4 linked regions of the Arabidopsis thaliana genome follow. The protein of the gene in region 4 interacts with the protein of the main gene of each other region in a pairwise test. Each region holds a gene or a part of one and is shown on either strand. Other genes may lie near its edges.

Region 1 (5,028 bases), on a different chromosome or scaffold from region 4:
CTTTCTTAATTTACCAAAGAAGTACTAAAAAACAAGATTAGTAACAGGAAAGGCCTAAAGCGTACACACACAAAGCAGGAATCGATGAATTCACATAACACTAACACCAGGACTAACACGAGAGTGTTATTGGCAGTGTCAGAGAGTGAAAAAGCTTGGAAAAAAATCGAACCGTACCTGAACGGAATCAGTTCGTAACACAGAGACTGAAGCAGATTAGAGTTGAATCAGATCAGGAGAGGAAAAAAGAAGAAGGAAGAACAGATCTCAAATCGTCCGTGAAATCCGGCAGAAATAGCGCCGACGAAGCTGACCCTATCAGCTACAGAGGTAGAGAGTAAGAGAAGAGAGAGATTGAGCTTTGTTAATTGTGTGTAGATTAGAGAGTGACAAGTAGAGAGAGATAGAGAGTTGTTGAAGCGAGTGTGTTTTGTTCGCCGAGTCTTTCGTCGAAGTTGTTTTTTTTTTTTCCCAAAAAAAAAAAACATATCTTTTTGTGGCCGACGGATTTAGTAAAAAAAACAGTATAATTTTTATAAAGATGGGCCCAATAGTAGAATCGTACGCTCAAGATTCCGTAATGAACGCGGGAAGTTACGTCATTGTGACCCTACTTACTTAGTGGAGCTCAATGTCCAATATACACCGTTGGATTTGTTTAATCCTCCTTTAGATGGGCCCAGTTTTTAGTAATATTCTATTCAATTCAGCACGTTATACAATTGCTTTTAAAGCCCATGGCCCATAATACTCAGACAGCCTTAAATGCTTCAGATTAACAAAGAAAATGTTTTAGATTTTATGGATAGTGTGATTAGAGTCCAATTATTTTGGAATTTAATTCGGTTAACCAGTCGAACCGGATAATCTGTAGAAATCCAGTTTTTTTTTTGGAAGACTACATATTTGTCTAAAGCCCATGAAGGCCCATTAAACCCAACGAACACAAACAATCTTCAAAATGCTCCTAGAATTTTCTGGATTCACCTGATTTTTCTCATAGACGTCCTCTAGATGTTTCTGTATTCCCCATAACAACTCGAGAAGCTCGAGAAATTTCGGTTAGTACCTTTAAATAGCTTCAAAAATCCTTCGTGTGTTCTATCAGAAATCGAAAAATCAAAGTTCTCAAGAAGATATCAACAAAAAAAAAAGTAAATTCTTTAAAATGTCGATGATTCCAAGTTTCTTCAACAACAACAGACGAAGCAACATCTTTGATCCATTCTCTCTTGACGTATGGGATCCATTCAAGGAACTAACATCATCATCACTTTCTCGTGAGAACTCAGCGATCGTGAACGCACGTGTGGACTGGAGAGAGACGCCTGAGGCCCACGTGTTTAAAGCTGACTTGCCTGGATTGAAGAAGGAGGAAGTTAAAGTTGAGATTGAGGAGGATAGTGTTTTGAAGATCAGTGGAGAGAGACACGTGGAGAAAGAAGATAAGAATGACACGTGGCACCGTGTGGAGAGATCGAGTGGACAGTTTACGAGGAGGTTTAGGTTGCCGGAGAATGTGAAGATGGATCAGGTTAAGGCTGCGATGGAGAATGGTGTGTTGACTGTTACGGTGCCTAAGGCTGAGACTAAGAAGGCTGATGTTAAGTCTATTCAGATCTCTGGTTGAGTAATGGGTTCGAGTTTTATCATCGGAGTTGCTTGTGTTTTTGTCATGGTTATGGTTCATGTTTTACTTGAGTGTGTGAGTACTCTATCTAAATTATAATAATCTCCGATTGAGCTATGAATTATGATGTATCGGATACATTTGATCCTAATGAAGTATGGAATAAATAATAATTATTAACCTTTGTCTAAATTCAAAAGAAGTTTAACCGACGAGATGATTTCGCTTAGAGTTCGATTTCGGTTTAACTAAACCAAATCAACCGATACCGTGAATCAAGACGGAATCAAACCCAAAAACTGAAAAGGTTCACATTATATAAATGTTATATTTTGATTTAGATTATTACATCATTTCTTTCAAAATGATTAACATTTTGTTTGATAACTGAATATTTCTTCTGTTTTACAATGTCATTCATTTCAAATGTTTGGCAGACAATGAATTGGCCAAAAAATAGACTCTTCAAAACAAAAAAAGTTGTGTGTTTTACAAATACAGTCGATACATTAATCTCTCAGTTTTAAACTTTTCAACATATGAATCTTAAAATATAAATTGTAGAACGTAATCATTTGGAGATTTGTTATTTCTTGGTCGGCTAATTGACTGGAGATTAGAAACACTAAGTGTTGGTCAAATATCTTAAAACACTAAGACGAATGACGTTGGCAATGACGTGCATACCTTAAAATATAAATCAGTCCTTTTCTGGTGTGATCTTCAAGATATCCTTGGATACAAAGACAAAGAGAAAGCAAAATGGTCCTTTTATTTATTTGTTTATTTCACCACCCATAACTTCATTTGTGTATAGAATATAGTAAACTCAAGTAATCAAGCAAGTAAACGAAACATAAAAAAGAAAAGTAGTGCAAGAAACAGAGGAGTTAGATACCAAAAAGTGAGAGATATCGAATGGCGGAGAAAGAAGAGAGTGTGAAGCTTCTAGGGTTTTGGGCAAGCCCTTTTAGTCGTCGAGTCGAGATGGCTCTCAAACTCAAAGGCGTGCCATACGAATACTTGGAAGAAGATTTGCCCAACAAGACCCCTTTGCTTCTGGAGCTAAACCCGCTTCACAAGAAAGTTCCGGTTCTTGTCCACAATGACAAAATATTACTCGAGTCACATCTGATTCTCGAATACATCGATCAGACGTGGAAGAACAGTCCAATTCTTCCTCAAGATCCTTACGAGAAGGCCATGGCTCGATTTTGGGCCAAGTTCATCGATGACCAGGTATACTAATATTGATTTGCAGATTAATTAGTTGATTCTATGCAGAACAATATTATATTATTCGCTTGTTTATATATTGTTCTTTACTTGCAGATCCTAACACTAGGGTTTAGGTCCCTTGTAAAAGCAGAGAAAGGAAGAGAGGTTGCTATTGAAGAGACTCGGGAACTGCTTATGTTTCTTGAGAAAGAAGTCACTGGAAAAGATTTCTTCGGTGGCAAGACAATCGGATTCTTGGACATGATCGCAGGAAGTATGATCCCATTTTGTCTAGCTAGACTTTGGAAAGGTATTGGAATTGATATGATTCCAGAGGAGAAGTTTCCGGAATTAAATAGATGGATCAAGAATTTGGAAGAAGTTGAGGCAGTGAGGGGATGTATTCCTCCAAGAGAGAAACAAATTGAGCGCATGACCAAAATTGCAGAGACAATTAAGTCTGCCTAAATTAAAGATACTTCTTGCCTACGAAAATATTTGATTTATATGCTTGCATCGTTTTTTATTTATATTTTTATTTTTTAAAGTTTTTCGAAAAATAGAATGACCTAATATTTAAGTAAAAAGATCAAAAACCTATTTGAAAGTTACAGCAATCAAATAACGTGGTGTGTCTGGAGATTGTAAAAGCCAAGACTAGAAGGAAATAAGAATAAAATAACCAAAGTGACCTCAGCAGTGACTTGGTTACCTTACTGATGTCTTTTTTTTTTTTTTTATCTTCAAGATAAGCTTGAGAGTTGAGACTACAAAAAAAAGCACAATATTGTTTTTAAAGTGACAGAGAGAGTCAGAGAGAGAGATCTAATGGCGAAGAAAGAAGAGAGTGTGAAGCTTCTAGGGTTTTGGATAAGCCCTTTTAGTCGTAGAGTCGAGATGGCTCTCAAACTTAAAGGCGTACCATACGAGTACTTGGAAGAAGACTTACCCAAAAAGAGCACTTTACTTCTTGAACTAAATCCGGTTCACAAGAAGGTTCCGGTTCTTGTTCACAATGATAAATTATTATCCGAGTCACATGTGATCCTCGAATACATCGACCAAACTTGGAATAACAATCCAATTCTACCTCACGATCCCTACGAGAAGGCCATGGTTCGGTTCTGGGCCAAGTTCGTTGATGAGCAGGTACTCTAGTCTAACTAATTAAATTGATTTATAATATTGATTGCAAAATAAATGAGAAACACTTGAGAGTTATTAGAAGTTCATTACATTTCAAGCATTTATATCAGGATTATTTGTAGGATAAAGTAATTTTCTAAGTACTTTTTTTTATAGATTGGTATAATAACTTGCAGATCCTACCAGTTGGCTTCATGCCCCTAGTAAAAGCAGAGAAGGGAATAGATGTTGCTATTGAGGAGATTCGAGAAATGCTTATGTTTCTTGAGAAGGAAGTCACTGGAAAAGATTTCTTTGGTGGCAAGACGATCGGATTCTTGGACATGGTTGCGGGAAGTATGATCCCGTTTTGTCTTGCTCGGGCTTGGGAATGTTTGGGGATTGATATGACTCCAGAGGATACGTTTCCAGAATTAAACAGATGGATCAAGAACTTGAATGAAGTTGAGATCGTGAGGGAATGTATACCTCCAAAAGAGAAACATATTGAGCGTATGAAGAAAATTATAGAGAGAGCTAAGTCTACGTTCTAAATTAATGATAACTTCATAACTCTGTGTTCTAAAATAATGACTATGTGCAGCTTGTATCGTTTTGTTATTGAAAAATTTGAAACAAAGAATGAATGTAGCTGCATTGGTAGTGGAAATCAATTAATGGGTGCAAAGTGAAATGTTGAAAGCTACCTATTATAACTATAATAACAAATATTGATTTATGGTTTAGGGAAAATAAATTGCAAAGATGGTAAATCTAAGTTCGATAGGATGATGAGTTAATTTGTTTCATGATGTGTGGTATTGATTACATGATGTTTGATAAGAAGTTAAGAACATTAACGTATGGTTGGTTAGTATTGGTTTATTGTGTATTGTTGGTTAGTATTTCAGTTTAGTGATATTCTGGTTCTATTAGTCTATCCAATTTTGTATTAGCATTGGTAACTCAATTTCTTCAAGAAATGAAATAACAAATATTTAACATATCTCTCCAAAACTAATACATCGGAAGTGAAAGATGAAAGACATGTTCAA
Region 2 (6,370 bases), on a different chromosome or scaffold from region 4:
AGCTGTCCATCAGGCCTAAAATCCTGGAGAATAAAATGCAGAAAATATTCATTGATAAACTGCGTCTGGTCATCAACATCAATGCAAACAGCAAAAAAAAAGGTAGGAAAAGGCATAGTAATTCTTTCTTGTCCTGCTTAATTTTTTCATACAGGCCAATTAAAAGGTTTTACTTCAGGAAAACATATAATTTGTGTCCACGTTTGTCAACGAAATTAAGTCTCATATATGTAAATCCTCGATGATGAGAAGAGTGGTTCCATGTAAGGTCCGATGAGGTAAACAATACTAACCTTTTGATCAGAGGCATCCAGTTGACTGGCAGCTGATACTGGTGCAACCACAAACTGAGATTTTGTCACATCGTTATTAGTTTTAGAACCACGCCCTCTACCTGTTGACGAAGCCCGACCTCGACCTTGTTTCTTCTTACTTACATCAAGGCCTGTCTTGGACTCAGCATCATTTTTCCTTCCATCATATGCTGCCTCTTGTGGCTTCAATTCAACAATATTCTTCATTATAAGTTGATGAGAAATACTAGGAGACAAAACTTACATCATACACCAATATTTGATATAAAAAACATCAACCCGATAAGAGACTAAAAGAAAACTCTTTATGAAAAATCAATACCTCAACATGATCAACAACACTGAAGTTGTTAGATTCTTGAACTTTCTGGCGCTTTTTTGTATTTGCTCGGATTAGGAAATCTCCAGTATTCTGAGACAGTAACAAGGAGAATGAGATCTAGCTAAAAAAGAGACTGTATTTCTTGTTCAAGAAAGAAATATAGATGCATCTGCAATGCCAGGATATGTAGCCAGCATTGCATACAACTTTGATCAATCTTTAGGCACAAACTGATCAATACAAGGAGGATAGGGACATCAACAATTCAATTAGCAACGACCCTTAGACTCACAAGAATCATAGCATAGACATAAACAAAAGAATTTGAAACAAACATCGGAAGCTACCTCGTCGTCTGAATCACTGATAGAGGTTTCGGACAATCCCGGCGGTGTGGAAGTGACGACTTTGACAGCGGCAGAAGCAGATGACCAGAGAGAGACCTGCTGCTGCTGCTGTTGTTGTTGTTGTGGTGGCTTGGCCGAGGAAGGGGTCTTACCAGTCAAGCGGGCCTCAAGCTTGGCGATTTTGTCGGGTAAAGAGTGATCCGACTGATTAGAAGAATTCGAGGAGAAATGCAAAACCATGTCATCCGACATTGCCAAACACTTGCGGACACTTCACTCCCTAATTTCTACACAGATCAGAGTAAATTCGAGAAATTAGGGTTTTTTAACGGAGAATTACGGAATTGGAAGCTAGAATCTGGATGTCGAAGAGAAACCCATCAACAAATTTTCATGCTTTTATGCAAATCCACGTGGAGGAAAGTGAATAAAACGTACAGAGAAAGATAGACAGAGAAAGAGAAGGAGGAATAAGGTTTTTGTTTCGGTGAAAAAGAAAAATCGAGGAACCCTAAGGAATTAGGAGGGAAAGAGAGGTCAACACAAAGTTCTCTTTAGCACTCACTCTGATACATTTTTTGGTTTATCAGATTTTAGCCTAATTATATAATCTGAGGTTTGAGACAAGTTTGAGTTATGGGTGTGTTAATTTGGGAAATTTCCATTTTTTCTTTCTTTTTTTTTCTCCATTTGGTATCATGGATTAGGGTTGACTATAAGTAGGGTTTTCTTTGATCTAAGGCCAGACTCGTGGTTTAAACGCTAAAATCCGATTATGACTATATGAATTTGCGGAAGTAGGCGGTTGCCGTCTCAAGCGTTATTAAACAATTTGAACGATTAATTTAGCGGTTGAAAATTAATGCATTTGCGGAAATTTTGTTACTGAATATCTAACAAACTAAAATACTTAATATATTAAATAATAAAATAATATAATTTAGTAATTTATAGTAAAATAAGATATGCTAGACTATTAATTTTGACACTAAATATATTCTGATTTCTTTCTTTACTAGTTTCATTTATATTTAATAACATTTTTATATAATTTACTATTCACAGAATTTAATAAGAAATAAATCTTAATTTGAAAAAAAAAAAATTGATTTGATAAAATTTCAATTGATTAATTAATTAAGACAAATAAAATAATAAATGAGAATCTCAGTGTCAATTAATAGATAAAATTAAAATGTAACATGCGTTAAGAAAAAGAAAAAAGTAAAAATGTAATATTAAGGTTTAGGCAAAATGAAATATTTACAGAGACCTTTTACTATTGAATTAAAAAAAAAAGTTACAATTCGAGATGGACTATTTTTTTGGAGGAGCAAGGGTTAACTCTTATCTCAGATTAAAACAACCCCTGCGCCGCTTACTCTCTCTCAGATTCCTCCCGAAGCAACCTCGTTTACTCTCTACGCCAATTTCAGCGCTTAGACATCCCTTTGTGAGTTTTCTTCGATTCCTTTTCGAATTCTTCTGGTCGATCTCAGAGTAAATCGTGTTTTTGGAAGAATTGAGTATAAACAGATTGGTAAACCTAGCTGTTCCGTTTCTGATTTGAAGCCTTGTCGTACATTTTATTTGGGTATTTTTTTTATTGGGAATCGAAAAGTTGTTCTGAATCTCGTTATGGTTTTGTTGCGTTCCGAATTACCTCTCTGATTTAGAAACCCTAATTTCGGACTTGCCTATGCTCATCGTTGTTACAGATTATGTTGATTCTAATATGTATATGTTTGGTTTCTGAGGTCTTATTATCATTGTGTGTTTTCGTTTTGTATCTCAGTTGCAATCATGGCTGATGAAATCAATGAGATAAGGGAAGAGCAAGAAGTAAGTTTGTTTTTTTTCTCTGTTTCTTAATGATAGGGCTCAAGTTAGCCATATAGATTTTTTTTTTTGTTTTGTTTGATGAACTCATGATTGAATGGTTTTTATGTTTTGGTTCATCCTTTTACAGCAGCTCGCACCCTTTGATCCTTCCAAGAAGAAAAAGAAGAAGAAGGTTGTGATTCAGGAACCTGTCGAGGACTTAGCAGAGTCTTCACAGACTGAGAAATCTGATTCATTGCCTGGTATGTATGATGAAGAGTCAATGTGATGTGAAACATTTTTTTTGTTTCAATGGTCTTTTGTGTTACTTTGTCTAATTCCTTGTTTTTGCAGTTAATGATGGTCTTGAGAGTTCATTTACTGGAATGAAGAAAAAGAAGAAGAAGCCAGTGAGTATTGTTTTACGTTTTGTGCCTAGTATTTTTTTTATGTCATTAAACTTGTGTGTTTGATGATTCTGTGACTCACATTTGTTCTTGTTTGATATTTAGACTGAATCAAGCTTATTGAACAACGAAAGTGTTGATGCTGGGGAAGATTTGGATGGTACTTTTAATATCCTTTTTTTTTGTTTGCTAATATACCTTTTCTCTTGGCGGGGTTTTTATCCTGTTTGAATCTTACTGAGAATATATTGCAGAGATTGCTAATGACGAGCAAGAGGGGGAAGAAGGAATAGTTCTACAGCAACGTTACCCCTGGGAGGGAAGTGAGAGGGATTACATATATGACGAGGTGACTATATTTTCGATGATTTCTTTTGTTTTAATCCTTCATAAATATCTTGCTCCCTTGTTTTTTTGCTGACGGGAGTTATATATGCAGCTTCTTGGTAGAGTCTTTAACATTCTCCGTGAAAATAATCCGGAGCTTGCTGGAGATAGGCGTCGTACAGTTATGAGGCCTCCTCAAGTTCTTCGTGAGGGGACAAAGAAGACTGTCTTTGTCAACTTCATGGACCTTTGCAAGACGTATGAGCTAACTCTTTATCTTCCTCTTCAAACTTTTTCTGTGTAACCATAAGTAATATTACCATTTAATTTTGATGACTTTTCGATGACATGTCTTATCTGCATATAAAAAATCAGGATGCATCGTCAACCAGATCATGTTATGCAATACTTGCTTGCTGAGTTGGGTACTAGTGGTTCGCTTGATGGGCAGCAAAGGTTGGTTGTTAAGGGAAGGTTTGCACCTAAGAATTTTGAAGGAATTTTGCGGCGATATATCAGTAAGTAACTTTCTTCTTAGTCTCAAAATTTAAGTTGCCATAAAAGTATATCAGTTTGGAGTTGTTAACCTCTTGTTTTATTATTTCTCAGCTGACTACGTCATTTGCCTTGGTTGCAAGAGCCCAGACACCATTCTCTCCAAGGAGAACCGTCTCTTCTTTCTGAGATGTGAAAAGGTATAAGTTAATCTAATTAGTCCTGATCTTGATATGCATTCCTTTGTTTCTGTTTTACAGTTTTACTTTCTGCGCAACAAAGTAATAAAGTATTTTGTGTGTTTGAATTTGCTAATGTGATTAACGAGTGGGCTACATGGTTTTTGCAGTGTGGATCTCAACGATCTGTGGCTCCGATCAAAACAGGGTTTGTTGCTCGTGTTAGTCGCAGGAAGACTTGAGAAATTAGAAGGTGAAGTGACCTTGGTATGGAGTTTGGAGCTATTCTACTGCTTCTGTATGAGTTTATGAGTTGAAGAAATACTTGTCTTGTTTTTTTTATTTTGTTTTGGAATATGATTATGACTTGACTTTTAAAATGGGATAGGATCAAAACCTTTTACTCTGTCAGGTTCATGTGGTCACCTTGAAGGTTGATTTAGTAAATCCATGGACTTCTTTTTTGTGTTAAGATTATTCTTAGTTCAAAATTAATAGACTAATGATATTAACGTCCACAGGCATTGCGTTCAACATCTCAAATTAAAGCGTGGAAGGCTCAGAAAGTCCAATATACACTATGTTTATCTACAGTTACAATCATACTACAAAAAACAAATAATGTATACGGTTTGGTCTAATATAGCCGCATACGATTTAGTATTTACCAACAAAAAATTGGTCTCAAACCAAACCGAACAATTGGTAATTAACAATTGTTCTTTTGGTCTTGAACCGAACCAAACCGAACTGAACTATATTAACCGACCGACTTCGTCCTTTCCTCCTGATCAAGAAAACTCGTCTCCTACAAAAATCCCAGAAGACAAGAGATTGGTTCTTCTTTTGCATCATTCTTACAAAATCCCCAAAATCATTCGAAACCCCTGAGTATTCTCCTTAACTCTAAGAAATAAATTTCTGAATGGATGCATCGTCTTCACCGTCTCCTTCCGAGGAAAGCTTGAAGCTTGAGCTTGATGATCTTCAGAAACAGCTGAACAAAAAGCTGAGATTCGAAGCATCCGTTTGTTCTATTCATAATCTTCTCCGTGATCACTACTCTTCTTCCTCTCCTTCTCTCCGCAAACAGGTTGGTTTTTATTCTTAGATTTTCGGATCAATAGATTCAAAATTATTCGGAATTGTTAGGGTTTATGCCTGCCTTGACGTTTACTCATTGCTTATGTCTGATGATGGGTTTAACTTTTGAGGATTGAATCAGGAATCAAATATCTTTCTTTTATTGTTTTTCTATTTCAATTGTGGAGAAAGTTCATGTTCATGTCAAAAATTTCATTTAATCCGATCTGTTTTTGTTTAGTTACCCTCTGTGACATAGTATTGATTTGATTGCCATTGCAGTTCTATATAGTTGTATCTCGTGTCGCTACGGTTCTTAAGACAAGATATACAGCTACTGGATTTTGGGTTGCTGGACTGAGTCTTTTCGAAGAGGCTGAGCGACTTGTCTCTGATGCTTCTGAGAAGAAACATTTGAAATCTTGCGTTGCTCAAGCTAAGGAGCAGTTAAGCGAAGTAGATAATCAGCCAACAGAGAGCTCACAAGGTTTGTGAAACATTTAGTTTGGCTTTTGATGGTTTTAAGTGAAATTTATCTGGAGATGATTTTTATTTCTCTTGTGAATTTTTTGCAGGTTATCTTTTTGAGGGACATCTTACGGTTGATCGTGAGCCGCCACAGCCTCAGTGGCTAGTACAGCAGAATCTCATGTCTGCTTTCGCTTCTATCGTTGGTGGTGAATCCTCTAATGGTCCTACTGAAAACACTATTGGGGAAACTGCTAACTTGATGCAAGAACTTATCAATGGTCTTGACATGATCATTCCAGATGTAATGCCTTCTCTTTTCTTCCTTACTAGTTTTAGATTATGTACTATCACACATAGCTGATATCACAAGTTTCTTCACCTAAAGATAGAGATGAAAGCAATTCTTAATCATCCGCATTCTACTCATATGTTGTTTTTTGCATATTGAGTTTCTCCACTTGGTTGTCTCACTCATCTGTATCAAGAGTGTTTAACCTCAACCTCTAATATTGTATTGGTAGCGTCTTTTTCTTAGCTTCATGATTGAAAAGTGATATATGATGTGTTCTATGCAGATACTAGATGATGGTGGACCACCAAGAGC
Region 3 (5,646 bases), on a different chromosome or scaffold from region 4:
ACCCATTGACATCAATGCTTTCCTTTACTGGTGAAGTCTCGTTGAGAGAATCAAAAGACACTGCATCATTATCATCTAGCTTTATCTTTTTCAGAGGTTGGTTTGTCTCTTCAGATTCTTCTGATACATCTAACTTGCCAATAACTTCAAGATCATTTATCTCCACAACAATCTTGACTTCTCCGTTCACAAGATACCCAGCATTTTTGGCATGAAGGTTGGGAAGAGGGATCATAGATGTAAAACCCGAGCCAAGATTTCTTTGATTAAACCAATTTTGTTTCTCTGTTCACGAAATATATAGAAACTCTAATCCAAACAAGCAATAAAATTGCACAATGCATAACAAGAATCTTGCAGCAGCACAAAGCCACATGAGTGTCCATGACAAGTTGTAGAATCATAAAATATCCTTTATAATATAAAGTTTAGAAATAAAGAATTATCTCCTCGTTGGGAGAGTTTGTCCGTAAGTTGATTTATTATAGTTAAGGAGAATTGTGCATATCTTCTCCATCCACAAGGCAATGCTCTAGCATCATCAACCACCAGATACAGAGACAAACTATTATTAAATTTATTTCCCTTTGGATAGGCCAGAAGATGCCTGCAAACAAAAAGCAGTTGCAAAAAAAAGTGGATGTCCTCGTAAACCTAAATTGGACTAATACAGTTAGAAAAAAAGTTTTAGTTTCTTAAGTACCATTTGCAGCCACCAATCACAAATGGATCAGAATAAATTTTGTCATATTGCAAAGTGGAGAAATTCTTAATCACCCAAGTGAACTTGTTATCAACTTCTTCACTCTCCATTAAAGACTCCTCACAACCAAACTACCTTTAAAACAATGCCACACACCCAAATTCATGTTATATACCAAAGGAAACACATCTCGAGTAACAAAATAAAAACCAAAACCTAAAATTCCACTATGGACTCTAACTGACATGATATCCTCAACGCTAGTAATCTTAGCTTCCACATAAAGACGTCAAGGTCGAACCAAACGCTTTAAAAAAAACTAAACTCTACCTTAATGAGAAGAGACAATGAAAAGGGTTGTTCTAAGACAACAGTCAACGGAGACTAAGGGAAAAAAGGGTTTCAGACTCTGAACGCTTACATGAATGCAAATCAAATTTTATTAGGAAAGTGAATCACTTTTATATGGCTTAGGAAACATGACTTGAAAACTAGAGTAACTAATGTTGTATATAATTTAATGCATACTATAAATAATCAATAGTTTCCCCAACCATGGTGATTTACCAGGGATACTCTGTCTCTCTTGTTACTCAGTTTCCAAAATTTCCATATTCAAAAATTTAGATTGTATAATTTAAACACACTTTAGTTTGGATATGATCAAGGGTAGTTACTTGATACAGTTTAGCTCCTATATTCAAGGGATTGCATATATTTCATTTTCAAGGGATTAACTACTTCTTCTATGTTCTGCTTTGATTTATTGATTTCTTCTAGAAAACACATCTTAAACTTTTCTAAATTTAATGTTGGTTAAAGTAATTTAAAAAAAAAACACTTCAAGCGCACAATGCTTTAGCACAAAATGCCTAAGAAAGAACTCAAGACATCAACCTATAGAGGATCTCCACAAAATGTCTCTGCCTTATCAGAGGGCAGTTTTTCAAAGCCTTGTCTAAAACATCTTAAGAACATCATTGAACGAGAGAGGAACATTAGCGGTCAAGTCATTTGCTTTCTCCTTGTCTAGAATATCTTTCAGGTCTAAGCGTTTCTGATTGAGTTTCTGCAAATCTTCCTCTATTTGTTGCAGCCGAGCCTTACCATTATCCACATTCTTCTTCTTTTCCTTTACTTCCTTGAGCTTCTTCTCCAACCAATCCACTTTAAAGCCACCTTGTGACACGAATAAAACTGCAATGGATGCTTCATCCAGATCAGTATCAGAGAGCTCCGCAGGCAGTTGGCACAGCGTTTCAATTATTCCGAGGAGTACATTCATGTATAATGTCTTCAGACATGGTTTCATTGAAGGGACTTCTGATGCAATGTTTGGGTATATTTCAAATATACGCTTCACAGATTCTACCTGTGAAAGAAGAAGAAAAAAATATCATAAAAGCTTTAGAAGCCCTGAATACATACAGAAACATTTTGTACATCAGAGTATTTAAATACAGAAAACCACAAAGAAGTATACTCGCATTAATCTTAAGTTTCTTACCTGTGAAGGAAGAACTTGAAACCCATTGACATCAATGATTTGTTGAGTCTGTTTGAGTAAATCAATAGAGTTGGCACCATCATTATTTGATGTGCCAATAACTTCAAGAGAAACAACCTCAATAACAATTGTTATTTCTCGGCAAATCAGAAACCCTGCATCTCTTGCAAGAAGGTTGAAAGGGGGTGGTACTGTTGGATAACTACAAGCGGGAAGATTCTCATCAAAGTATAGGTCTGAATCTGTAGCATCACCACAAGTATTAAAACATCAATATCACATTAAAACTAATCTAAATCAGTCACTCATTTTGCAAAAAGTATAAATAGAAGAATAACCTGTCACAATGGAGCGTTTATGAGAAATTCCATTTACTATAGTTAAGCGAAGTTTTACATGTCTTCTCCATGAAGAAGTCAGTGATTGACAAGAATCAGCAACCCCCATGTATTGATAGAAGAACTCATAGTTAGTTCCCTTTGGTAAGGCTAGAAGACGCCTACAAAAAAAATCAAATCACCAGAACATAATTAGATGAAAAGTACGTTTGGAACAAAAGTTGGTTCAGTTTTTACCATCTACTGCCAGCAATCAGAAAGGGATCAGAATGACTCTGCTTAGGATAAAAAACGTTGAGATCCTTTATCACCCAGACAAATTTCTTGTCAACTTCCTTCTCCATTATATTACTCGCAATGAAACTACAACAGCATGAAGAGAATTAAACCAAATTCATGTACCTACCAATCAAAGTATCAAACACACACACTCTCCAACAAATTCTTTCTTAGTTTAACAAAGATTTTACTATGAACTCAAAGACATATGAAGTTTCAGCCAGCAGTTTAAACTACTTAAAACTAGTTGACCGTAGTTGAGGAAAAGAAATATTCTAAGACATGCAAGATTAAGGGAATAAAGCGATTACCCTTGAGAGGCGAGTTGAAAGAGAAACAGCGACTCAGAAGTCAGAACTCGTACCCACTTTGTCCAAGTTAGTCCAAGTTTGTCAGAGCTACGAACCCAATCCAAAAACCAAATTACTTGGATCGAATAGTTCAAAAACGAGATTCAACCATTTTTATAACATTAATCCTCTAAACCAAAAAAAGGGAGATATCCAATTCCAATAAGGAAAGAAACTAAAATCCCTTCTTTGGAATTGACTTTTCCAATAAGGAAAGAAACTTGGACTTGAGATTCTGTTTCCTTTTTTCTTGGTGAATAGACCTTCCAAGGCTTTTTAGGTCCTTTTGTGTTAAAGAGAGGAACAGGATGCCAAACGTTTTCAAAAGGGGTTGCCAATTTCTTTTTTGATTTTTTTTTTTTTAGTAAAGGATACAGATTTTTACAGTAAACTTAGGAAATATTTGTTTAATTTAATGAAGATAACTGACGCTTTTATATATATAATCTTGCAACAATTTGTTCAAGTCATACCCTTACAAAACAAGTAACTAAATATTAGAGCAGAAGTGAATAAAAGAACCTAAAAGATTTTCTTAGAAATACTATGTTACATCTCAATGTCTTCTAGATCTGGTAAAGGGAACCTAAGAATAGCTGCAATTCCAGTATGCTGTGCTAGTTGTTCCCCTGAAGCATGCATTGACGAAAATATAAAAACCTCTCCTCCTGAATCTTTCACCGACTCCACAAAATCCACATACTTCTTCCTTGTTTTCACGTCAGAGTTCCTAAATAGCCCATCTATAATGAGAAGTGTTTGGATTGCCATTCGTTCATGAGCAACTTCCACATGTTTTGGTCCATAACATGCTCTATTTGGATCATTCGAAAACATGGTGAAGAAATCGTTGAGAGCTTTGACCTCTTTTGCTGCTTTAGTATCTTTGATCATATTCATCACGTTAGGGTCATGCAAAACCTCGCTTAGGCTATGTTTATATCCTGAGTTTGTGTGCACCAGAATGAAACGTGATTTGTTCTCAAGAATAGGTCTCAACTGTCTTCTCTCTGCTTCCAACAATAGGTGGCGATGAAACTGATCTTTTGTAAACCCGGGACTTGCAATCACTGCGCATCGAACCACACTGAAGTCAACGTGTTTCAGAAAGGCTTGCACAACATTCTCAAAGAATTTCTTCAAAACTGACTCGTAACCAGCCGTTCCAGCTCCATGCTTCCAAGGAATCGATGTTTTTATTCGTGCACCGCAACTTTTTACACTTTTGCCGGCAAGGAAGATTTGTGCCAGTCCTTCTTGCATTAGAACTACAGCTAAATCAGCACTAGCTGCAAGATCTGAGGCCTGCTTGAGTGTATCAAGAGCCAGTGAGTCCCAATTTTCCTTTCTCAATAAAAAAGGTCGTTTAAGCTCAATCTCCAAAGTATGGAATGCACCAATCCTTACATGCTCGTTCTCCATGATATTCTTCCCGCGTATGCGCATAACATCGCCGTCTTTGTCATAGTCCACCTCCTCAACTTGTACTTCTAGCTTAAGTTTAACACGTTCAGTCCGGGTGAAAGATCTTTTCTTTCCAAGGTATTTGCTTTCTATTCGACTTAGCGATGGAGTCGAGTCTCTTCCTTCACCACCAACTTTTCTGAAAGTGATAGCCATTACACTATCCTCCGGGCCAATCAGGTTATAAGTATACCAGAGATCATCCGAGTCCTCTGCCATCATCTTAACGCTTCCGGGTCCATTACGAACAAAATCCTTGCGAATGATTTTCATCTTTCAGGATTTTTGAAGGTATTTTCCACTAACAGAATCTGAAGAATAAACTGTCGATCGGAAATTGTGGTAGGGAATGAAGAACAATCAATCGCTCTGACAAGAAGAGAAGAAAAAATAAAAACTTAAAGTAAACTTTTGCTTAAATTAAGCTGTTATTGATCTGAAGAAATAGACTTGATCTCCTGAGATATACATATTTATAGCTAGCTATAAAGCTTACATAAGTCGTCTAGGAAAACTAGGAAACGTATTTTCCTTTTCTACATTGTTAAGTATTGGGGATAGAGATTAATCTCATTAGGATTATTCCTATATATCTTCTGATTATGTCCTATATTTTAGGGACTAGAGTATATCTTATACGATGTCTCTCTTGTATAAATATTATACTTTGTGAATCAATAAAATCAAGTTAGTGCAATATCTAATTCTACATAGTTTCTTTATTTCATTAGAGCATCCTTATCCATAGGTTGTTAACAATATCATAAGAACTATTAAAATATTATATTAAACAAAATAAGAATAAAAAAATTAAAAAAAAGTATACTTAAGAGATGAAAAATGGCTCTTAGCTAAAAGTTTTTAGATACATTCTCTCTAGCCTTTTTAATATTTAAACATTATTTTGTATATATCAAAATTGTTTATAATTCTATGTAAGAGTCGATTGATAAAGATGGTCTAATTTCCTTTTCTTAATTTTTGACGTAAATTAATCAAAATCAC
Region 4 (5,325 bases):
TAAGAACCCTAGATCTCAGAAGTTTCCGTAAAAAACAAGGTTAACAAAATTCTACACAGCGAAATCGTTAATGTTATTGATATAATTGAAATCTTACCGACGGGAATTTGATCTTCGTTATCCGATAAGATAACAGACGTCGGAGAAATCTGGGAATTGGAGTTTCCGGTCACCGACACTTGAACTGGGGAAAATTGGCCGAAGCGGAAGACGAAGAAACGAAAAGCGAGACAAGTTATAAGTGTTGCAGCGACGAGTTTTATGAGATATGTGTTTTGTTGAAGATTAGAGATTGATTCCCATTTTAGCTTCATCTTCTTCTTCTTCCCTCGCGCTGAGAGATATACGATTTTTTTTTTTTGGTCAGAAAGTGGAATGTTTTTGATTCCGTACTTATTGCCTAAGCGATAAACCAATGAATAATAGAATCCAAAAAGATTAGTGAGTAATTTAATGCTTGTGGGGTTAATGATATACAGAAAGTTAATAAATGAAACAGAGAATGATTAATGAGGATTCTAAACAACCGTAATTATTCTCTCTCTGATTTTAAGTAATGTTTAAGGTTTTTTACACATATTACAAAAGTTTAGTTTAATTTACCTTTTTTTGCATAAGTAACTATATCTAAGTCAACCAATAAAAAATATACTATAGAATATTATTGGTCAAAAAATATTAAATACATTTAACTTTTATATTGAAAGTTGAAAGCATCATTTAAAATCGGAAAAAACATTCTCTAAATTATCATTTTTAATGATATGAAACCGTCATCAATTGTGTCAATATCAATAAAAACGATCTCTTCAGTAGAGATGAAAAAAAATTGTATCGCATATGTCACAACTAATCTAATCGTTTATATTATTTAAAGTTTTAATTTCTAAACTCATAATTTTTACCAATTGTTTCAAAATTTTCACATCTGCAATTTTAACTGCAAAAGTCTCTATATTTTCTACGGTCAAATTCCTTACACCAAAATTTTCTACAACCAAAATTGATATAGTTAGAAATAACACTTGTTACCAATCGGTCCTAACACTTTCAGATTATAGATATTGCGGTTAATTAGATAAAAAAGATTCAAAAATATATTTGATTTCTAAGGACAAACTAAAAAAATTTAGGAGCTTTAGAAAAATTATGTTTGATTTCCAATTATTCTACGTGGTTTTAGTAAAAGATGTGTTTACTATAAAAACCTTGATTGTAATTGTTTATAACTCATTACTAAAAGTTGTGACTGCAGAAATTACGAAACTAAACTACTACAAAAAAATGTGGAGAAATGGGTTAAAAAAAACAAGGAAAAAAATTCAATGTTAAATCAACTGAAATTTTTTTCATTTAATTATTCAGCTAATTTTAGGGAAGTTATCATATCACTATATATATATATATATATAAATAATACAAACAAACGATGCGTAGAAGAAAAAAAACTGTTGTCCGGTTCACTGTCCAGATCGGGTTTAAAAACATTGATTTTCATATTATATTCCGAATTTTGTTTTGCCAAAAATCCAATTACTTAAATTTCAGGTCAATTTATGTTAATTTTTTAACATAACCCGATCCAATTCAAATTGAAACAAATTTATATTTCTCTTTTAATAGTATAGGAATTTGCACAAATGTTATGTAAAAAACGGAAAATTGGTTTTTTCATATCTTTAGTTTGAACTATGCTGCATTTATACACGTATTATACCACAGTTGATTTAACCTAAACTTCAATTTGATATTTAAACTTTCATTTTTATACGAAAACATACATTAATGTTACAATGTTAGAATACCTTTAATTTCTGTTGTTAACCTGAATGTTAGGGCTGGGCAAAATATTCGTTCGATCCGCTTTGATTCGGTATATGATTTGGTTTGATTCGAAAAATCCGAATATCCGTAAGATTTTGGACCAAAGCAAATAGGAAAATGTAGTATTCGTAAAAACCGAATCAAATAACAAATTTTAAAAAAAAAAAACCGAATATCCGCTTCGATCCGTATCTTTTTATATATATATTAGAAAATATAGTTATATCTATATATATATCATAATAGTTTGTGTATTGTTGCTATTTTACGTTTTTATGTTAAAATGTTTGTTTGATCATTTTTCTCATGTTATGTTTTGATCAACGACATCAAAAACTATCGGGTTTTAGTTTTCGGAATTAGTTTGATAACATTTTGTAGACTGGTGGTACCAACAAGTATTTAGTTTTTATTTTGAAAGCATGTTAAATAAAAACTTTGAATATCTGATATAGTTATATAGTATATAGATTTTTTTTAATATTTAAATATATCAAAGCGGATATCCGCAAATATCACAAAAAATTCTGGATATTCGAAATTCCGGATATCCGGAAATTTTCGAAGCAAAGCAAAGCAAATCACAAAATCAAGTATTCGTTTAAAACGAATCGAATAACAAATATCACAATTTTTCCGGATATCCGTTTCGTACCCAGACCTACTGAATGCCATATATAAAACGGTAAAAACAGAAAATTAAAGTTCTAGTAAAAAAAACATCGCATCAGTTACAAGGTTTGGATTAAATTAAAAAAAGGTTTGGGTTAAATTAGCTTAAGAATGAACAATTTATTAATTATTTTTTTGGTCACATGGAATAAACAATTAATTAATTTGAATAATATTACTTAAATACATACAAACATTATCTGTCATCTTCGATTACGTTATCATTAACCAACGTTTAGGAGGACTTTGCTTCTTCGTCTTCTTCTCTCTTTAGGTTCTTCAAGTTCGCAATCCTGGTAAGATTTTCTCGAGAAAATTCCATTTCTTTCTATCTGATTCTGTTTACATTGTTGAATGCTTGAAAGAATCTGAGTTTTAACCACACTCTCTCTTCCCTGTTACTCACCATTTTCTCTCTGAATCCTCCGAAACCCATTTCGATTTCCACAATCTGAGCTCATAAATCTGGTTTAATTCTCATCTTCGTTGCATTTCAGTCATAAAGAGAACATAAAGCTTGGATATTTAGGGTTTTTGCAGAATTTTTGATTAAGCTTATGAGTTTGGTAATAATCTGTAGAAATTGGTTGATGTTGTTTCAGGTTTGGGTTTAGGACAAATCAGAGAAGAAGATGATGTTTGGTTTAGAGAAAACGATGACTTTGGAGCATGAAATTCTGAAGGAGAATCATGAGACTCTGTTGAAAGATTATGAGAGTCTTCAGGAGAGGATTAAGCATGCTGAGGAAGCTTATGAGGCTATTAAGTTGCATCATGAGAACAAAGCTAAGGAGCTTGAAGTGAGTAACAAACGCTTGCTTGAGGAATGTATGAAAGAGAGAAGGGAGAAGGCTAAGGTTAGGAAGACTTTTGAGGAGATGAAGAAGACAATGGAGAGTGAGAGAACTGCTATTGTTGATGAGTTGAAGTCGAAGAATCAGGAGCTTTTGTTGGGGAAGAAGAAAGAGGAAGAAGAGTTAGTGAAGATGGAGAATAAGTATGTTGAGTTAGCTGAGAAGTTTGATGTTGTTGAAAAGGAATGTGCTTACTTGAAGTCACTCTATGATGCGGAAGTAGTAGCTTCGGTTACTCAAAGTGCTGTAATCTCAGGGGTTGGAGAGACTGATAATCTTATTGGTCAAGGAGAGAACGAGGCTAATCAGAATGTGAACAATGCTGTGACAGGTATACATAGACATCTCTGTACCCAAGTGTTGTTTAGTTTACAATGACATTTCTTTTGAATCTATCTTTGTGTGCAGATGCGATAATGATAAGTGATGATGAAAATGATAATAATCCACCTATTGAGAGTAACATAAGCTCTCATCGGTCTGGTGATAGAAACCAAGAAGAAGAAGGCAGGAACAGAGGAAACTCAGCGACTGAGAACCGAGCTTCGGGAGAAACCTTTACTCCGGTATCTGCTAATCATCCACCGCCTTTTTCTCCTTCATCGTCATCTTCATCATCATCATCTTCAGACGGCGCTGAGATTGTGCTTAAGCTGCCTCGTAATTGGCCTGAATGGGCAATCCCGAAAGGTCCCGGGAAGGATTCCAACAAGCCTTAGAACATTTCAGATGCAACAGAGAGCCAAAAGAAGTAAATTTGAAGCTGCACTCTTAAGTTAAGCTAGTTATGGAAATCTTCTTACATATTGCTTTCTGTTTTTGTCAGGAGTTTATTTAACAATCTCTGGAACTACAACAAACTATTCTATCTACTATCAAATCAATTATTCATTCATGAGTATAATAATAGCTGAAACTTTCTGTGTTACAACAATTTCACCATAACTAAAATTGCATTTGCATTTGAATACTGCAAACGCAAATTGGCTTTGTATACGCATCTTGTTTATATATGGATTAGTTTTTTCTACATAATTAATGAAAGCTTTTGTAAACTAACTCTTGAGTACTAACTAATAAGAAAGTTCCGTGGCAAAATAATTTCCGAATCATCGGATAATCATCCATTTACGAGGTTAAGTTCCGGGAACTGCTGGTGTTAAGGTTCTGGAAGATCTCCGGAAGATTGGCATTAGTGAGTTTGATTCTCTTGCTGATCTGTTGTTTGCCATGCCATGAATATGTGCAACAGCTCTTCTCTGTGTAGTGTTCATCACACATGCTTCAAACTAAGCTTATGCAGCTCCTTCTCGACTAGCTTGTCGCTTGAGTTGTCTATGCCGCGGTATAGAGGTTTAAAGTCGTCATAAACCTGAATCTGACCCTTGAAATCAGCATTAGACAGTCCTTAAACTTTTAGAGCCAGCAAATATGAAAGACAATCCTGAAAAATGGATAATCATAAGACCACAAAAGTCTTTTGAAACCATTTAAGATCAGGAGCCAGTACACTATCCGTCTATCAGAATCTGGCAATAAATATTATCAGAAGCTTATTGATTATGAAGTTAATACATCTTAAATAGAATCAGTTAAGCGTTTTTTGTAAATCTAAATCACATGTGAAATTTCTTTATGTCACGTTTTCATTTGTGTAAAACAATATCTTTTGATTTATTAAGCAAATAATTTGCAGCTAAAGCTCTCAAGATTCAAATAAATTGAAATGTAAGTAGTGTAAGTAGTGATTTCTTATAGAAATAGTTGAAATCTAAAAGTATTAGGACACTGATGTAAGTATTGTTAAACTAAAGAGATCTATCAGGAAATCAAATCACTATAGTTTTTTTTTTTTTTTTAAATTCCTTGAGTTTATCAAACAAAAAAATGTAAATGTCCCTAGCAAGTACTGTAGGTTCATTTTTTTTGTTTCAAAAGAGTATGTTATTTCTTAAAAATCGCCAAAGATAGATAA

The links.
Region 1: the proteins of AT4G11100 (region 4) and GSTU1 interact in a two-hybrid assay, tested with the Arabidopsis thaliana proteins (one large-scale study listed by BioGRID).
Region 2: the proteins of AT4G11100 (region 4) and EIF2 BETA interact in a two-hybrid assay, tested with the Arabidopsis thaliana proteins (one large-scale study listed by BioGRID).
Region 3: the proteins of AT4G11100 (region 4) and AT3G58380 interact in a two-hybrid assay, tested with the Arabidopsis thaliana proteins (one large-scale study listed by BioGRID).

Annotation. Positions count from the first base shown.
Region 1 is NC_003071.7:12,629,881-12,634,908, reverse strand, and holds GSTU1 (glutathione S-transferase TAU 1), read left to right. Parts: upstream 1-2,370; 5' UTR 2,371-2,548; coding exon 2,549-2,869; intron 2,870-2,962; coding exon 2,963-3,316; 3' UTR 3,317-3,568; downstream 3,569-5,028. Other genes in the region: AT2G29500 (HSP20-like chaperones superfamily protein), read left to right, coding at 1,169-1,630; AT2G29485 (uncharacterized protein), read right to left, coding at 3,935-4,002, 4,178-4,319; GSTU2 (glutathione S-transferase tau 2), read left to right, coding at 3,677-3,997, 4,171-4,527. UniProt on the Arabidopsis thaliana protein: May be involved in the conjugation of reduced glutathione to a wide number of exogenous and endogenous hydrophobic electrophiles and have a detoxification role against certain herbicides.
Region 2 is NC_003076.8:7,093,078-7,099,447, reverse strand, and holds EIF2 BETA (eukaryotic translation initiation factor 2 beta subunit), read left to right. Parts: upstream 1-2,302; 5' UTR 2,303-2,436; exon of another isoform or gene 2,437-2,577; intron 2,578-2,778; 5' UTR 2,779-2,786; coding exon 2,787-2,825; intron 2,826-2,952; coding exon 2,953-3,067; intron 3,068-3,158; coding exon 3,159-3,214; intron 3,215-3,316; coding exon 3,317-3,371; intron 3,372-3,465; coding exon 3,466-3,560; intron 3,561-3,650; coding exon 3,651-3,796; intron 3,797-3,913; coding exon 3,914-4,056; intron 4,057-4,147; coding exon 4,148-4,233; intron 4,234-4,382; coding exon 4,383-4,454; 3' UTR 4,455-4,799; downstream 4,800-6,370. Other genes in the region: TSL (Protein kinase superfamily protein), read right to left, coding at 1-23, 294-497, 637-726, 984-1,235; AIP2 (RING/U-box superfamily protein), read left to right, coding at 5,138-5,305, 5,578-5,782, 5,871-6,067, 6,342-6,370. UniProt on the Arabidopsis thaliana protein: Component of the eIF2 complex that functions in the early steps of protein synthesis by forming a ternary complex with GTP and initiator tRNA.
Region 3 is NC_003074.8:21,596,304-21,601,949, forward strand, and holds AT3G58380 (TRAF-like family protein), read right to left. Parts: upstream 3,306-5,646; 5' UTR 3,139-3,305; intron 2,912-3,138; 5' UTR 2,893-2,911; coding exon 2,786-2,892; intron 2,710-2,785; coding exon 2,549-2,709; intron 2,453-2,548; coding exon 2,211-2,452; intron 2,076-2,210; coding exon 1,662-2,075; 3' UTR 1,496-1,661; downstream 1-1,495. Other genes in the region: AT3G58370 (TRAF-like family protein), read right to left, coding at 1-40, 119-291, 447-607, 704-813; AT3G58390 (Eukaryotic release factor 1 (eRF1) family protein), read right to left, coding at 3,727-4,914.
Region 4 is NC_003075.7:6,765,908-6,771,232, forward strand, and holds AT4G11100 (gelsolin protein), read left to right. Parts: upstream 1-2,706; 5' UTR 2,707-2,792; exon of another isoform or gene 2,793-2,964; intron 2,965-3,098; 5' UTR 3,099-3,128; coding exon 3,129-3,681; intron 3,682-3,758; coding exon 3,759-4,069; 3' UTR 4,070-4,378; downstream 4,379-5,325. Other genes in the region: TBL23 (TRICHOME BIREFRINGENCE-LIKE 23), read right to left, coding at 98-314.